2 linked regions of the Bombyx mori genome follow. The protein of the gene in region 2 interacts with the protein of the main gene of each other region in a pairwise test. Links are inferred from orthologs where the notes say so. Each region holds a gene or a part of one and is shown on either strand. Other genes may lie near its edges.

Evidence for each region.
Region 1: the proteins of calcium-activated potassium channel slowpoke (region 2) and alpha-catulin interact in a two-hybrid assay, tested with the Caenorhabditis elegans proteins (2 studies listed by BioGRID, with this or other methods). The link is inferred for Bombyx mori from reciprocal best matches to the Caenorhabditis elegans genes slo-1 and ctn-1.

The regions. Positions count from the first base shown.
Region 1 is NC_085111.1:8,800,452-8,810,289, reverse strand, and holds the start of alpha-catulin, read right to left. Parts: upstream 4,636-9,838; 5' UTR 4,516-4,635; coding exon 4,468-4,515; intron 769-4,467; coding exon 588-768; intron 1-587. Other genes in the region: myosin-IIIb, read right to left, coding at 6,610-6,961, 7,589-7,699. UniProt on the Caenorhabditis elegans protein: Required for slo-1 potassium ion channel clustering at presynaptic terminals and in egg-laying muscles; clustering of slo-1 mediates the intoxicating and sedatory effects of ethanol on worms.
Region 2 is NC_085115.1:13,416,079-13,425,210, forward strand, and holds part of calcium-activated potassium channel slowpoke, read right to left. Parts: intron 8,941-9,132; coding exon 8,811-8,940; intron 7,089-8,810; coding exon 7,023-7,088; intron 5,919-7,022; coding exon 5,747-5,918; intron 5,516-5,746; coding exon 5,291-5,515; intron 4,921-5,290; coding exon 4,626-4,920; intron 4,219-4,625; coding exon 4,082-4,218; intron 3,642-4,081; coding exon 3,505-3,641; intron 3,074-3,504; coding exon 2,848-3,073; intron 2,441-2,847; coding exon 2,354-2,440; 3' UTR 1-2,353. UniProt on the Caenorhabditis elegans protein: Potassium channel activated by both membrane depolarization or increase in cytosolic Ca(2+) that mediates export of K(+). Its activation dampens the excitatory events that elevate the cytosolic Ca(2+) concentration and/or depolarize the cell membrane.

The sequences.
Region 1 (9,838 bases), on a different chromosome or scaffold from region 2:
GCCAAACTTTTTGAAGGTTTCACTTCTACCACATATGCATTACACACATTTTTAAAAAAAATGAAATATTTAGATATTAAGAGTGTCAGAAACGACCGGTACAAATTGTCCGTTCCGTCCGGTGTAGTTTTTGGAACGAAGTTCCTTATGGGACGATGCGGAGGGGTACCATAAACGGGAAAAACGTCCGTAACGTAATTTTTTTATTAGTAATGCACACAGTATACGACTTAACTTTGTAATAACGTACAAATTAGTAATGCACACAGTGTGCGACTTAACTTTGTAATAACGTACAAAAAATAACAATTTTTTTTATCATTCATTGATCACGATCTCAGAGCGTTCGTTTACGCAATACACTAACTCTTATGCAAACAACCGTGAATGAAGTGTACCACAATAAGTTCGCACGTTACCGAATGACCGTGGGTTGTTGCGAAACCTCCTGTTTTATTTTCTTTATACCTCGAATAGAACTTAAAATTAATATTTTTATAATAAGGAACTTCGTTGCTATCCGGTGTCCCACAAAACTTTAATTTTTTTTTAGGAAACGCGTTAGTAGTATTTTTATGTATAGTTACCCGCTGCTCTAGCTTCTTTACAGGCGAGTACCATGTTGTGCCTCACATCGGGGTTGTCGTCAGCGATGGTCTCGCCGACGGCCACGAAGCGCTCCACGGCGCAGCAGACAGCGGCGCCCACTCGTTGCACGGCCGCACCGCCTCCAGCAGCTTCGTTCCGCGTCGCCACGAGATTGCTGATCTGTTGCGAAATTATCACTTTTTAATACGCTTTTATTAGTAGCTTCAGACATATGTATGTTAGTATGTAACGGAATCTTTGAACATGATTTTGACCCCCTTTAGAACGTCGGAAATTAGGTGTACTTATTAAGGACCGATGACATTCAACATTAAATAAAAAATATTTAATGTTTCTGTTTTTAAATACAAGGTCAAACAATTCTATCTCTCATCAACCGAATGATCATTGCTCTATACTCTTCGTATATACCTACTGTGTTACTTATAATATTTTGTATTCAAGTTTAAAAATATTTGCTATGTGTATGTATGTGCATTACTATAATTCTCATGTTGTATTTGTTATTTTAGCTGTTCTACACACACTCATCACTTTTAATTATTATTCTCATAATTCTCTCGCAGGTCTGCTGGAAGAGATTTCTTAAAGAAATAAGCAGTGCCTTTGTAGATAATTTTCCTATTACTCTGTACTATGTCTTCTTTTTTGTGTGTACATAAATAAAAAAATAAATAATAATAAAAAATACATTGAAAAAATTGAAATTCAACTTAAAAATAAATAATAGTTTAAAAAAACTAAACAAATACGCTTTTATAGAAAATCCAACTAAAACACAGATGCATGGGGTGCATGGTATCAGTAGTAATAAATATTTTATGAACAGATATGAGTAGAAGGACTATTTTGATAATATCCTGAAAAGCACCCCACGCTTTTTTTTACAATAAAATCGCTTTTTCTTGCACTATTTTTAATTCAAATTAATTAAAATTTATTTTCTATTTTTTAGTTGGACTTTCTATAAAAGCGTATTTTGTTAGTTATTTTAAACTATTATTTATATACTCTACTTTTTTGCTAGTCGCATATTGAACAAAACCGTATAAAAGGGGTTAAAGTATGATATTAATAACCATTCGTCACCCTCAGTGTTCGCCAGACCTTGCTTCTACCTAGACTTCAATTTTTATCGTTATTTGGATAATTTTCTACGTGATAAAAAGGTTTCTTCCCAGGATGCAGTACAAAATGCTTTCACATAGTTTGTAGAATCTAGATCACCAGAGTTCTATCGCAAAGGCATAAATGACCTTCCTATTAGATGGCAGCAATGTATAGAAAATAATGGTAGATATTTTGATCAAATAAATATGTTAAATGAAAAAAAAAACCCAATTTCAACTTTTCAGTACCAGTCGGCAATTTCATATTTAACCCCTAATATATGAATCTCATAAAATCAGATATTACCTCTTTCGAAATTTCTAGAATATGTCATCTAAATATGTGCTCATAGAACTATTACAATATTCGCTGCGGTACCGATAGCTGATTAATACATAGAAAGACATTTTCTAAACAGTCTACCAGTTAGTGCAATGAAAATATATGAAATGTTACCAACAGATAATGAAACTGGACTTTTATCTTTTACGCAGCAATGAAATAATAAACATAGTTTTTTTTTCTTAACTTTTGGATTTGGCCAGTCGCGGAAATTAATAATAATTATTAATATTAAAAACAGAAACATAACTTCTATTAATGTTCACGATTGACTTCCACGGTGAAGGAATAACATCGTGTAATAAAAATCAAACCCGCAAAATTATAATTTGCGTAATTACTGGTGGTAAGACCTCTTGTGAGTCCGCACGGGTAGATACCACCACCCTGCCTATTTCTGCCGTGAAGCAGTAATGCGTTTCGGTTTGAAGGGTGGGGCAGTCGTTGTAACTATACTGAGACTCATAGAACTCATTTCTCAAGGTGGGTGGCGCATTTACGTTGTAGATGTCTATGGGCTCCAGTAACCACTTAACACCAGGTGGGCTGTGAGCTCGTCTATCCATCTAAGCAAAAAAAAATCCTAGCCCTTGAGCACGAAAACTGTTGAGTATTAAACAATCTGAAATTGTAAAATAAAAATAATCAATGTGAGATTGAATCGTAAATATCTTAAATATATCAAATGTTTTGTTTATTTGTGCTTGATAGTCTTAAAAACATTTGGTGGTGTGTGTTTTTAGTACCGTATTGTATTGTAATCAATCAGCTTGTGCTGATCATTTTGTCTGCATATTTTTGTTCTCTAAGCCAGTTAAGAAAAAGTTAATAAAAAAATGTAAAGTCAATTCATTATTGGTGGGATAACTCAATGTGAAAAACGTATTTGCCGTATTTGCTTTATGAAGTAGCATCGTTCATTATACAAATATTGCAAAATTGATCTTTTTAATTGCGTAATAGTCTTAACTACACGTTGTATTTAGTGAATAAAAATATTTTCTTTAGTAATTAATAAGAGTATAACATAAAACAACGAGACCTTACTCACAGTGTCTGTCTGGCACAGACGAATACGTGGTAAACAAAGATAAATGTCGTGAGCCAAAACCGATTCATGAAAGTCTTTTTACTGGTGGTAGGACCTCTTGTGAGTCCGCGCGGGTGGGTACCACCACCCTGCCTATTTCTGCCGTGAAGCAGTAATGCGTTTCGGTTTGAAGGGTGGGGCAGCCGTTATAACTATACTAACTATACTGAGACCTTAGAACTTATATCTCAAGGTGGGTGGCGCATTTATGTTGTAGATGTCTATGGGCTCCAGTAACCACTTAACACCAGGTGGGCTGTGAGCTCGTCCACCTATCTAAGCAATAAAAAAAAAAGGTAATTTACAATATACAATACAATTACTCTCTCATGAAAGCTCATGAGTAAATGTAGGTTTTGTTTTGAATTATTACAAAAATTCTTAGTCAATAGTACGATTTTTTGTAAACGGCTCTAACATTACATAAAAGGCGATTATTATCCAAACTTTTTAAATGATGGCGAGCATTTGTAGTTTTATTATTAAATAAGCACTCGATACATTCTCACGGTGTTCGTGTAGCGACGAACTTATTTTTTAATTTGAAGAATTGCGAAAGTAAGTAAAATTTATAAAACTTTTAGATTGGCTTACATGTTGGTCATATTATAAATGCAATTTTCGGAATTCTTTAAATAGGTGAAATATTTTTTAAATAAAAAAAATGTTGTTTAGATGTAGTTTTACTATAATCTATACTTACTAATATACTAAACTAATAATATTATAAAGAGGAAAGATTTGTTTGTTTGTTTGTTTCGAATAGGCTCCGAAACTACTGGACCGATTTGAAAAATTATTTTTCCATTAGAAGCCGACATTGTCCCTGATGAACATAGGCTACTTTTTTAAATTTTTTTTTTTTGTTTCCTGTGTGTTATAATGTTTCCGAAGCGAAGCGAGGGCGGGTCGCTAGTAAGATTATAAAATGTGATAGCTGTAATACATATAAGCCAAAAATAATCTAATTTTGCAAAGTACTTTAAAAAAATAGCTTTACAAAAAAACATGCTCTACATTTATACGCTCAAGTTTAATGTAAGGAAAACAAAAAAGTTTTCTATTAAGTTTTTTTTTGTTATATAATCTAGACAAAGTAGTCTAGTCTAAGATCTACTTTTCATTTGCATGATTTGCCCGGGATACGAGCAACGCTAGGTCTGTAATACTCCGTTTGACGTCGTCGTAGAAAATTACCCACATGCCGCTACTTGTTGCTGCTTGTATTTTATCAGGGTAAGACCACGACAACTGATCGTGTTAAAACGATGCAGGAGCTCATAGTAGAAGTTTCGTTTCATTAAGGAAGAGCCTACCTGTCGTTCGCGGCGCGCGTATTCATCGTCATCGGAAAGCACGTCCATGTCGCAAGAGAGAGAGCGCGTGACGCGCGGGCGGTGGGCGCGCGCTCGACGGCGCGCTGTCCGCGGGCGCGCGCACGTGCTCCGTGACGTTGCCGTGTCGGCACCGAGCCGCTCCGCCCGCGTTCGCCGCGGCACTGCCGGCCCGTCAGGCATCGATCCACAACCCCCGCCCCCGCCCGTTCAATACCCACGTGGCCGCCCGCCCTCAGCACTTTATCAGCACTGATTAAGTACCAAACAAATTGACGTACGTGATGATTTTTTTTCTTACCTTTTCGAATTTTCTAATTCAAATATCACCACAATGAAGTCTTAAAAATAATGGCTATTGTCATAGAAATCTGCCCAGTCGAAGTATCAAACTATGCTCCGTCCATTCGAATCCGCCGCCGTCCGTGAACTCTCGCAAGGCGATTGCGCGACTGAACGCAACAGATAGTTGCGACGGGCGGGAAATTCTAAAGTGAAACGTCAAAGCGACGACACGCTCTAAATCGCTTTAGTTCCGAAAATAATACTACGAATTTAGACGAGGTACGTAAAACTAGATATCGTAAAAGCTCCACGCGACGTCAGATCAGTGTCGTAGACGTGTTCTGTCGGTAATCAGGAACGTCACAGACCTCGAAGCAACCGCCTGAGGTAGGAAGGTGACGTCTGGGGGTCGGTAGGAGGCGTACCGTACCTGTTTAATGAGGGGGAGCAGAGTTCTCTCGATGGATCGCGTTTTTATCTGTCTGAGGTCGAGATCAGGCAGGCCGGCGGCCGCCATGGCTGGCGCGGGCGCGACTGCGCGTGTGCGCGCGCAATATTCCGCGCCGCCCTCATTGGCCACCTCTCCGCCTCCGCCGCCCGCCACCTGGCTATCGTTTACAATCAACTAGCATCTAAATACTCCTAGCTTCACGTGCTTCACTTTGTTTTGATTACGTATGAACTTACGCGTACGTGTTTTCATATTGTTATACGCTTCCGATGTTGTTACACTGCAACTTTTGACTGACCGACGAACACGTGCGCGTCCATTCTTTGCTGTTGTTTCTGATGTATTAATCGAATATCGATAAAAGGAAAGTAAATAATAAAACACAGTTTAAGGATTAATTTTATTTTTTCACATACTTTTTCAAACTACGCGAGCAAAACGTTTTCTTATTAAAATAATCATTGGCACGTTATCACAATAGTCGTCAATGATTTACTTCTCGATATTCCCGCAATGATAAAGCGTATAATATCAACATATTTTCATAAAAATATTCTTTAAACATAACTTTGGTATTTGTAATTAACGACAAAAATGTTTATAAAATATTAGCAAGGTGTTTCATTATTAGTTATAGTATTAAGAACTTATGTCACTATATAACTATAATATACATGATTTTAATGTATTTTATTAAGTACATTTATTTCTTAATATCTTATTATTGCTAAACCGATGAATTTAGTATGATGATTCAAGATATGAAAGTCAGCAAAAATTAAATAGTCTAATACAAAAACAACACAAATTTTAGAATATAAATTTCAACGATACCAATTGATTTTATTTTTTCCAAATTTCTTATTCAGTAATATATCAGTATGGTTGAGGTAATTTAAATAAACAAATAAATTGCTAATTGAGAAGAAGAAAAAAACTTAGTTTTTGAATAATGTATAATAATATTTAGTATAAAGTATAATATATAAGTAAAAAGTATAATATAAAGTATCAGTAGGCAGCGATTTGTCTCTTCCCCTGGCATTGCTGAAATCTATGGGCGGCGGTAACCACTCAACATCAGGTGGGCCATATGTTCGAATGCCTACAAGGGCAATAAAAAAATATCACGTAACTAAATGCAAAATATTTAAAATCTGAATCTAATTAGGTGATGTAATTTTTTTTTAATCAGCACAAAATGATTTTTTAAAACTCATTCGAAGTATTTTTTCTAAGAAAAGTTCTGATTTTTTTGTCGTATTAAATTTAATCTTAAGAACATGTATTTGAAACACACAAAAAAGTAATGATATTGTACACGATAGTACACACCGTACTTGACAACTTATTATTTCACTATGAATACTGCAATGCGCCACAATTGCTTAATTATAATAGACGCCCATACAAATTTGGGGACGGCGTTTATTGAAGGCCTGCTTAGGGTTGACACTCTCTTGCGAACTGTCAGACATCCAGGGGCTCTGTCCTGGTGAATTCCTGACCTTTCTCTTCCGCAAGCTCTCCGTAGGTCCCAGTGTGGGCCTCAGTAGCTGTTTAAATCTAAACGGGCCTTCGGTGTAATCGTCATCAGAACTGAACATCGGCGTTGCAAGTATTTGCGGGGAGTTGCGAAGGATCTTTCGTAGTGTTGATTCCGGATCGTGAGTGATATTGTATACGGGCTTCGGAGGCTCCGCCTTACGAGAGTTCCGGACCAGTTCGCTAATCTTGTTGCTGTTGAAAACAAATAAACCATAAATAATTACTAATTGAATCGAAACCATCAGATAATAATAATATGGCCTTTTAAGCTGATCTGAAAAATCTGATGGTTAGAGCGTCATATTTACCAAATGGAAAATCCACATGTGCAATCTTAATCTAATTAATATATGTAAATTCATTCAGGCATAGAAAATGTTATTGTATGTTTATGCCAGGCGTAAGAGCAAAATCTTTTGACTCTTGGTTCTATGAAAAGAATTAAAAATAAACAATGTTTTCTAACTGAAGTCAATTTAACCATTTTAAAATTTATCAACATAATTAATGCAACCATATATGAGATTGAAAATAAATCACAGAAAGAATATTTAAATTACGAATTCGAACTAATTATGTTACTAAATTCTGACCACTGTTGACTTTACAGATATTTGTTTGTTGCGATTACCATACATAATTTTATTATATAATAGTATGTATTAGCAAAACACTAGCAAAGAACGTCACTCAGATTGGTTATGATAAGTTACGTACCCATCGTTTCTATTGATCCGGTTAGTGAGTAAGACATGCGAGAGAAACGTAAATGTACTTAATTATAATCAGGGCCAGTAGTTGGCGACATAGTTCTCGTACCTGACGAGGCCGCTGCATTGACGGCTGCACGGTAAATTCTGCCGGCTCTGACTCGATTGGCGATGACGTTCTTCCACGACTGGTTCGTGTCCGTTGCTCACTTGCTGATACCTGATGGAACATCAAATTAGAAATGGCGAATTAGCTCACGGCCCACCTAGTGTAGGAGGGTACTAAAGCTCATAGACATGACAAAGTGAATAAGGCGACTCATTTTGAGGCATGCGGTTGTAGTCTCAATTATATTCTATGAAGGCTGTTTAACCCTTCAAACTGGAACACATTACTAACATTCACGACAAGATGTAGAAGAACCTAACCGTACGATTAGTAGTTACGCAAAAACTATGATTTTGTCAATTGATCTGCATTCTACCATCACATTTATTACAAATAATTTGAAATTGTTGAGTTCATAACCGTTCCATTAAGTTCTAGAATTATGGATGGAACGGTATGTCATGTAAGTTCCACCTAAGAGTTCTTAGTAGTTTACATGACCAAATAGCCTGACCTACGCCTGTCTTAAATAGCAACCTTTTTATCTGTAAATTGGATACTCCGTAGTACGGAATCCTTAAGCCACTACATGTGAGCATTTTACACCATTCGTCGATACAAGTGATACTCCTTACTTACTATCGAAATTCCTACATCAAGTTCGGGTGCTAGGGCTTATTGTGCCATATCTTCTAATTTGTAGAGTAGGATACTTGATATTACACGAGTCTTACGGTCTACAATATATTGTGAATCGAAGCTTAGACCTCAAGTTACGCTTCGACCTCATGGTTGGTGTCTATCGACCTCGGTAGCTACTAAACACCACTTATATAGAAAAAAAAATGTTGGCGAAATGATTGAAATTCCACCATAATCACTGTCATTTCAAGATTTAGATTCAATTTATGTGGTAAATTTTCGCTTTTCTTATTGACATTTTGAATAAGGAACTAACTCTTCCTTGCATTGTTTAATAATAGTGCTAAATCGTCAATAGTGAACAAACACACAACAAAAGAAAACAAATAAAAAAGGGAATCATTTGAAAAACACAGGAGAAAATGGTACTTAGCAATTTTACCTTCGACTATTTATGGATACTTCCTCACCGTGTCATAAATGTCATAAAGCATATAGGTACCTATAATATACCTATTTATATTATAGTTATATATTACAATAGCTGAGCCACCTCCTTTTGCCTTTTTCTCTTTTTTTTTTCTTTTCTTTTATTTGTATTCCATTTTATTTTCTGTGATGTGAAAGGCAATAAATGATTTTTATTATTTATTATTATTATTATATGTATGTATATTAGTAAAATAGCAAGTACCTACATTGGCATACATTGTATTTATTTATTAGCACATTTACATATATAGTCAGGTCATAAATTCTGTCACATGTTTAATGTAAAATAATTGAAACAAGTTTATTCATTATGTAACCATTCATATACCAAAATGAACTTAATAAAACATAGATTCTTATGACACTAAAGTTTATTCAAAATGACCTCCGTGATTTTGAATACAGGCCTTCAATCTGCGCGGCCAGTCGTCTATCGCAGCACGAACGAGGTCCATGTCAATATCGGCGGCTGCCTTAATCAAGGATGTCTTGAGTGACTCCAAATTGGGATGAGGCTTTGAGCACGCCTTTTCCTCCAAGTGTTGCCATATCTTGTAATCTAACGGATTCAAATCTGGACTGGAGGAGGGCCAGTCTTCGTGCCGGATGAAGTCGATTTCACGCGCCGCCAGCCAGTCTTGTGTGCTCTTCGCTCTATGAACTGGTGCCGAATCTTGTTGGAATACCCAGTGCCTGTTATTGAACATGGTATGAGAAACAGGTACCACAAGGTTCGTCAGGACTGTATTTTGATACACAACTGCATTCGTTTTTACACCTTTCTCACAAAAATGTACCTCTGTTAAGCCCCAATAAGAAACTCTCAACCATACCATGAGCGAGGATGGAAAATGACCTCGTTGGACACGCGGAATACGGTTGCTCGCTTCTTCATTACTGTGTGCGTACACCTTATCTTTTTTTTTGTTGTAGCTCTCTTCTACGGTAAAAATTTTTTCATCCGAAAAAAGAATTTCCCGATATTTTTTTCCCGCGTACCGCTTCAACAAAGCGCGGCATCTCTTCAGTCTCAGGTCCATTAGACGAGCATTCAAACGATTTCCTGTTTTTCTTCGATATGCCCGAAGCCCTAAGTCTTCATTTAACACCCTTTTC
Region 2 (9,132 bases):
AGGTATTCATTTTAATTGAAATATTTTCATATTTATTAATTTGTAGCTGTCGCGTGCTTTCTATAAAGGTACACTTACTGATTTCATCAAACATCGTGTAAATTTTAAATTGAATAAATAAGTATAATGCTGACTATATTATTTATATAAACGATTCATCTAAAAATTGGTGATGTAACTATTTTTCTATTAAATTCTAATAACGTTAATTTAATCGACTGAACTGTTATCGATAGTTCATTCGATGTTGCGTGTCACACTATGTCAGTGCGGTTTGATTCAGTCGATTAAAACGTCATCTAATACAATCAACGTAGTTAACTATGAGAATCCACAATCGTCAAAGCACCCGGAGTTAATACTAAATACACTGCCTGGCTTCACAAGCCCTATTTTTCTATAATAAATAACGATAATTTTTTTTTCGAAAAATAATATCACACATTTACAGCGAAATATCACTTTGTACTCAAGTGTCCGTCGCAAAATAATAAAATGAAAACAATTTTGTTTATATAGAGCTCACAATGGCAATTTTTTTTTAATTTGTATCAGTTCATAAGTCTTATTTTTGTGCAGCGCCATGTATCACGTCCACTTTGACAATCCCCTGCCCGTAGGAAAAAAATAATAAAAATAAAAAAAATAAAAAAGCTACACAATTAAAGTTTATTGAATAAACAAAATGAAACAATATAAACTAAAATGAGACTAAACATAACAAGTTCGTTTTATATTTTTCGTGCAGTTCTTTGGTTTTATGGACGTTCAAATTATTATTTTCAGTCTTGCACAAAAAATACCAAACAACTACAGGTGTCCAAAGTTTATTTACAAAAAGATAAAGAGAAATGAGCAAAATCTACCATAGTACGTGCACCTTTAAGAATAACATGAAGTATAATATATCTTACAGCTAAAGCGAAGAAGTAATAATTCAAAAGATACTAAGAGCTACTTAAGTGAAATAACAAATTTAATTAATACGCAAATTGCCTATTAAATCAATCAGTCAATGAACATTTTAAATGCTAAAAATACACATATCAGATATACACATATAGAAAGGTGTTAAATATTTAGAAAACAGATGAGAAAAAAAAAAGTTCAGTGAATTTTATAGAATGGAAAATTCTAGATTTAAGGTAGTTCGAAGGTAGCCGATGCAGATATATTTTTACTGTGAAACTAAAATTTTCTGCAATTAAAAGTTTAAAAGGTTCCATTATTTCGATCACAAATAACTATTTAGGTACTAACTTTTAATATTCAAGATTAAAGTTGTTCGCTTCTCAAAAAACATTACTTAATAAAATTGTTTTTTTTTTAAATTGCAGTCGCCATTGTTATTTTTGGAGCGCAAAATGGTGGATTTTGACAAAAGAGAATCAAAAATGAAGAAAAAACAGGAACAAAAGTGCTTTGCGTCTTTGTAATATAGCATAGAGCTGTGTCAATCTAGATTTCAAAAATTCAAAGATAATTTTTACAACACTTATGAACTAAAAATATAAACCAACGCCATTAATATTTTGACCATTTTCAACTAATATACATATTTTGTCATTACTTAAAATTTAATAAACATATTTAAATAAATTGTCTTATTTGGTGTTTTATTCGTGTTTCACGTAATTTAAAATAGCTTTATAGTCGCTTTTAGACTTAAAATAGTGCTGGATCAAAGTGCAGCAATAATATCGTGAAAATAATATAATTTTATAAGCGTTGTAATGTAGTGCAGGCAAAATTGTGTTTCAAATAAAAGGCGATGTATGATTGATTTAACTGAACGCAATGTCGGAAGTAGGATTTTTTATTTTGAACTGTGTAGTAAAAGTAAAAAAAAGGCCAATTAAAATATTTTTTAAATGAAGGTATTCTGGGGTTCGATTTAAATACAGTTGACAGTTTAATCTTGTTTTTATGGTATCACTAAATAGTATAGAACAAAGTCGCTTTCTCTGTCCTTATATCCCTATGTATGTATCTTTAATGTATCTTTAAAACTACGCAACGGATTTTGATGCGGTTTTTTTTAATAGATACAGTGATTGAAGAGGAAGGTTTATATGTATAATAACAATTATTAAATAGTGGAGAAATCAATAATAAATTACAGTTTCTGAAGGGTCGCTGGTACTCTATAAATGACAAGGATCAGAAAATGTGATACGAGATTTAACCGTCAAACTGTATCCAATCACGTCTCCAACTCAAAGTAAAGCACTTGGAGTTAAGAGTTTCGATTGTGCAGTGGAGGGTTTGGGCAGTTCAGGGCGGGATTGTCGAGACGCCGGGCCCCCTAGATGTAGGAGTAGGGCCCGTCGGTGAGGGCGCTGCACAGCAATAGTCAGGAGGCGTCGTCCTTGGGGGCGGGCGCGGCGCGGCGGGATGCGCGGTACTCCACGCCCGGGTCGAACTGCATCAGCACGAACACCTGCAAGCAGACCGCACTCACGCGTCTGGAGCCCGCCGCTGCTATATCCTAAGGCAGCGGTCGGGGAACCGGGGTGAATTACCCCAAATGGGGTAAAATGAAATTTTGGGGGGTAAAAATGAAACTTTTGCGAGTACAACTTTTTTACTGGTGATAGGACCCCTTGTGGGTCCGCGGGGGTGGGTACCACCACCCTGCCTATTTCTGCCGTGAAGCAGTAATGCGTTTCGGGAGGGTGGGGCAGCCGCTGTAACTATACTTGAGACCTTAGAACTTATATCTCAAGGTGGGTGCCGCATTTACGGTGTAGATGTCTATGGGCTCCAGTAACCAATTAACACCAGGTGGGCTGTGAGCTCGTCCACACATCAAAGCAATCAAAGCAATAAAAAAAAAAGATTACTAACTTGGTCGGTGGGCAGCAGCGAGAAGTCGTCGGGGGGATTAGTGATGACGTAGCGCTTGCTGCTCGCGTCGCACGAGGACGAGGTGTCCCGGAACCTGTAGAGGCCGATGCACAGCATCCCGTACGTGCTGAGGGCGGCCACGAACAGGTCCCCGTACTTGCCGGCCTCTCCGAACTGGGCCAGGGGACCGTCGTAGAGGGATATCTGGCCCACTCTACACCGGTCTCTGTTGGAAACGATTGATCAATAAATATACATAATATATATATATAATAAATAATTTTTACTGGTGGTAGGACGTATTGTGAGTCCACACGGGTAGATACCACCACCCTGCCTATTTCTGTCGTGAGGCAGTAATGCGTTTCGGTTTGAAGGGTGGGGCAGCCGTCGTAACTATACTGAGAACTTAGAACTTATATCTCGAGGTGGGTTTTACGTTGTGGCCCACAGATATCCACATTTACGTTGTGGATGTCTGTGGGCTTCAGTGACCACTTAACACCGGGTGGGCTGTGAGCTCGTCCACCCATCTTAGTCCTACCATCTAGGTCCTACCACCAGTGATTTCAATGTTTTCGTTTTTAACGATGCGAATTTGAAAAGTCGTTTTGAGATCATCGAGTTTGGTATTTGTTTAGTGAGTAGTGCGGAGACCTGTTGGCCAGACTCTCGGGCGTGGAGTACCCGCCGCGGAGCCCGGCACCTTCGGCGAGGATCAGCTCCAGCTCGGGGGTCGCGCCGCCCGTTATCAGCGAACGGATCAGTGTCAACGCGTTTTGGTTGAAGTACGTCTGCAAGTTCGAAATTGGTCAAACTTTGGGAAACCCGACTAAAGATTCATAGATTTGCATAACATTAATGGTAATGTTAATTTAATTATCATTTCCGATTTCGGGAGTCGTAGACATAAATAAAACGATTTTTGCGATTTAATCTCGCGTTTATTTTTGTCATTGTTATCGAATACTTTGCGGTTTCCGTACGCCGTTACGTTCCGTTCCGTTTACGCCTTACATATCATGTGATTTATTATCTATGGGTTACGGACTGAGATGTTGTTCTTTGACATTTGATTATTGTGACATCTGTCAATAAATTAATGCTGCAAAAACGTTCAGTGACTCGATTAACAATATTCACGTTTTGGTCACATTGAATTAGCCGCGGAATATCCTACAAATTTTGATATATTTCGATGGAAGATTAAAATGCTGATTTAGCCAAGTCTTACAGTGGACATGAGAGAGTCGAGTACGCTGACGGCAAACGCAGTGCCGCAGGCAAACGGTTGCGTCAAGTACAGCTCCGTGTCGGGGTCGTCGTCGTCGTCCTGGTCTAAGAACTGCACGTTGCTATCGTTCACCAGCTCTGATGAGCAGAAAGAATATCATTATTTTCAAATGGCACTAGACGAGGTCGGAGACTCACTTGTATACTCGACCGCTCCGCGTCATAAATAGGCAGAATAGTAGTAGATACGTGGGTAGACTGGGGAAAAATTGGTACCCGCTCGCAGGATTTGAACTTTGGTATAGTTGCATCTTATCGTATCGTATGTTCTTTCACCTCATTAAAACTACTTAATTAACATTAACATAATTAATCTTTCAAAATCACACGACGAGTGGCACATTAGGCTATCAGTCTACATCACTTAGGCGAAAATCCAGCGATATTCCTCCCACAAAAAAAAACGCTTCTAAAATTTTTCAAAAATGACACTATATTATATTAATATTCTAGAATTATGTCCTCACATACTGCGGTCAGTGTACCTGTAATCATAGGTACATTAGCACCGTATACGGATCCCCTCCTCTGTAGCAGCACGGGCGCGGGGGGCTGGCCCGGCAGCGGCTGCGCGTTGCTGCCGTTGGCCCCCGCGCCGGCGCTGAGCACTCCTATCGTGTCGTCGAACGTCATCGCCTTGATGTTCAACGAAGCCAAGATAGCTTCCTTGTCCGCCAGTGTAGGGTCATCGTTCGATGGCACCTTCGCTGACAGGATACAGCACATGTCGCATAGGTTCACGTTTACTGCACGCAAGTCGGCCCGGCTTAGCGGTGAACCCTAAACAAATATACCGAACGATCATTGTTGACTGTCAACTTCAGCTGTTCAATTTAGCATGCTGATTCGTAGACTTGAAGATAATCAACTTGGCATTGACCGGGAATTAAGTGCTATCAATATCTTTATATATTATTTTGGTGGTTTTCTTTTCCTGGTTGTTTGGTCGTCAAATATCGCATGACAATATTAGTCTTCTTTGCAATTCGCCACTCAAGCAAATGAAATATGAGGTATGGCTAGAAACCCAGAGCGAATCTATGTTATAAGTAAACCGTTTAGAAGTAATTACATTATGATCGCGTAGATTGAGACAGATTTAAACAGGATCATAACCTCACAAAAACTAATGCTCGTTAAGGATACTCACATTCAATACAGATATCTTCGGAAGATTCTGCAACATTTTCCATTCTCTTCGTATGTAGTCGACGCTTCCTACGATAACCACGTGTTTCAACTCGTGGTAGTGGAAATTGGAGGCTCTTAGCGGCATCACGAGATTCCTCAAGCCGATCAGTGGCGAGTCTGGATCCGCGAATAGACACACGACAACGTGACCATTTAGAACCGTCATAGCCGCTTGGTTTCTGTCCTGTTGAGATTTTCTTTATTTAATTTACGGTATCGGTAATTTAATATTGAACATTTTTTCGATAAGCATAAGGTTTGGTGAATTTCACTGGTCTATCTGGGCCCGGGTTTAATGCTGAGCGGTCAAATTCTCCATAGGGATTAAATTATATATGAACATTCAATTAGTACGTAATGCTTTTAAATTAATTTGTTAGAGTGATAATTAGGTAAAACTCAAAGCTCTACTTACTAATATACAATCTTCAAGATTCCTGGCAGGGCTCCAATGGAACATGCCTGTTGAGTCGTATTTCATTTCAGTCTTTTCAAAGTCGAAGTCTTTCGACTGGTCGTCTGCCAATCCAGCAGGCAGACTAACTCCATTGCTGTTCTGATTACCCCCACTGCTTCTGCTAGTAGGCCTGTCGAGTCATCCAAAACATTATTCCTTTCTCGATTTCTATATCTCTAACGAATTTCGTGCTAAATTGCGGGTGATAAAACTTAAATTTTATGTAAATTCAAACATGATTACTTGCTTTATTTTTAACGTGGAATTTTTTTAGTTTTATTATTTTATTTCATGCACTGTGGTCATATACTATAGTCAATGTATTGTGAAGAAGATCGTGGTACCTACTAATGTAGTAATAACAGTATAATATAGACTACGCAATTTATGTATTAATAATGTACTCGATCGGTGACTGTACTGTTTTAAACATAGCGAGAAAACGTGAAAAAAAACGTAATGCCTATTTATAAAAGTCTAAACAGAAATTATTTCTGAACTAAACTTTCGTATTTCTATAAAACCAAAACATGCTATGCTCCTAGATAACAGTGCTAAATAATATGAGTAATAAATTTTATATTACAAACCTTTCATATTTATCTACAATTACATGAAACGGGGGTAAACGTGACATAAGCTCTACGTACTACGGAAATTTCTGGAATACAACAAAAAAAAAACAAAAAAAAACGGTAATGTGTACAGGAGAAGTAATTGTATCGACAAATTACTTTTCTATTTTTATCTATTGATTATTTTACTCGAAGTGTATCTTCAATTTAATTAAAATTAAATTTATAGTTTAATCCCGCGTTTTTTTTAAATTTAATTATTATATGTAGGATGTATGATTACATTACAGTGTTCGTAGTTCCGAACATCTAAGGTGTCAGGCGTCAGCATTTGGCTCCCGTCACGTGTCAGTAATCATAAAATGACATTAAAAAACGCGGGATTAAGCCGTTCAAGTTAATTTTGGTTATGTCTCCGACCCGTGAAATCCGAAGAAAATGCTGCTACATCTTCAATTCCATAGAATTCATTGTTAATTGTTTTTATTAGGACTTTATTAAGACACGTTTTTTTTACTTAATGTTCTTCGAATTTATTATTCTGCGCCTTCGCCTGTACTGGTACCATTTTACAAACGAAAAGTACTAAAATTCGATACAGAGCCAAAACTACTGAGTCAAGAAATCGTCTAGCTTTTTATATAATTTATTTGAGTTACATGAGCTTTTTCACTTCGTAGGCAAGGTGATAGGCCTGGTAATTCGTGTCTTGATCTTGAGGATTCCTGTAATAGACACCAAATAGGTCTAATCTTAAAGGTGTAGTTGTGCAATAAATTTAAGCTGAACGAAAACGGAATCATTTTGTTTTTAAATTAATTAATCAATGTATGTTAAACTTAGATATATGGTAAATATATTTTCAAGAAATTATATAGGCTCTTCGATTTGATAAGTGGAAGGTTTGCTTGAGATATTCGCGTAACAATTAATATCAAATCTTCGAATTTTAATACCGGAACTCTGTTTTATTTAAAACCGGCTAGACAGTATAATATTTCTCTTTTTACTCCTTCTCATTAATATCTTTTTATAGTTCTTTCTTAGGAAATTAAATAAAAAATACACATATCGAACCAATCAAAGCACGGAGCAGCTTTAACAGTTATTCAATAGAACATGCTATTTTCTAAGTTAATTTATAGATATAGCGTGTTATCTGCTATTAACGTGTGTCCTGTCATCGGGTAATAAATTTAAAAAAAAGCAGCTAAAATAATAGCAGTTTATAGCAGGTTATCATAAACACTAATATTTCGTGTGCTCTGTGCTCTTGTTCTAATAAGGGTTCAAATTACACATTGAGGTCAAGCTTCAATGGGACAAACTTAGAAAAAACAACTTAATTCATCATTTTAAGTTTAATAATTTATTTTATGACCATAGCTGTTTTTAGAATGCTGACAATATTAAAATAAAACAAAACATCGATCAAGCAAATAACAGTCATGTAAGCTTTAGAGCATCTTTCATCTTTCAGATTAATGACAGTAATTGCTACGTATAATTATGTTGAAATCATACTAAACTTAAGTGGTTGAAATTCACCTTTTTTTTATTGCCCTTGTTAGGTTAGGTAACCATTTTTTTTTTAATGTAACTAGTTACCTAACAACTAGGTTAGGTTAGGTCTTATTTGACGTTATGAAAGATTCTCTAAACAGTTTTTTTTAATAGTTAACAAAAAACAGTTAACATTACAATAGGGTCTTTAAACTGTCATTAGGTTAGCTGATTTCAATTTGTGCTCTATGTTGTTGTTTATTAACGTCTGTTTGTGGTTTTTATTTATTATCTAAGTACAAGACATTAATACAGTATTTACGGGTGTATCGTAGGACTTTTAGAACCTAAATCATTTCCTTGCATGTTTTACGGAAGTGTACATTTTACGATTCCGATTCTCGGCTCCGATTATAGTTTATAATAGTTTTAGTCTGGTTTGTTGGATACAGTGTAATTTACCAGTATATTAATAGAGTGAGTGAGGATCTATAGAGTCTTATTTTTTATCAAAACTTTTCAGTCGCTTTTCATTCCTGAAATACATAATTTTTTAATATATTATTTTTTCCAATAACTTTCAAAATATAATTTTCAAGAAAATATGCTCATCATAAACAAAAAAAATTGTTCGTATATTGTATAGATTGTCGTCGTAATAATATATGGATGCCTATCATTCACCCGTAGTGACAATATTAATTTATTTCCCGCCTATCCTTTCCTAGCTGGATTTCGACAAGGCAATGCCGAAAATTAAAAAAAAATCCAAAAGGGTTCCACAACCTCTGTCGTACGACTAGGAAATGCCAGATATTACGTAGGAGGTAGTCAGACTAGACGTGAAAGAAATTAAGCCAACTGTAACAACGACAGGGATGGGATGGGAATACAGGTGCAGACATCACCCGGCGGGCGACAATGGCGAATCAAATAAGACTTACGTATCGGGCGGTACTCGATTGACGTTCGGCTTTACTTTGTTGACTTGCCGAGTCGTCGTCGTGTTCACCAGCTGGTTCGCCATTGGAGACAGCATCGCCGTCGGCGCGTTCCGATGGTTGCGATTTATTACTTTGTCGAAAAATAATTAACGTTAAATTAATGTTAAGCTTTTATAACGCTTATCTTCCGTGCTGTTTTTTTGTCGTTTTGTGCCATAATCTAATTATAAACCATTAATTGGACCTGTTATTATGTATCTATGTAATTATGTTTTATATTAATTAATAATGCAACACCGGACACGTGTGCAAGTTGAGCATT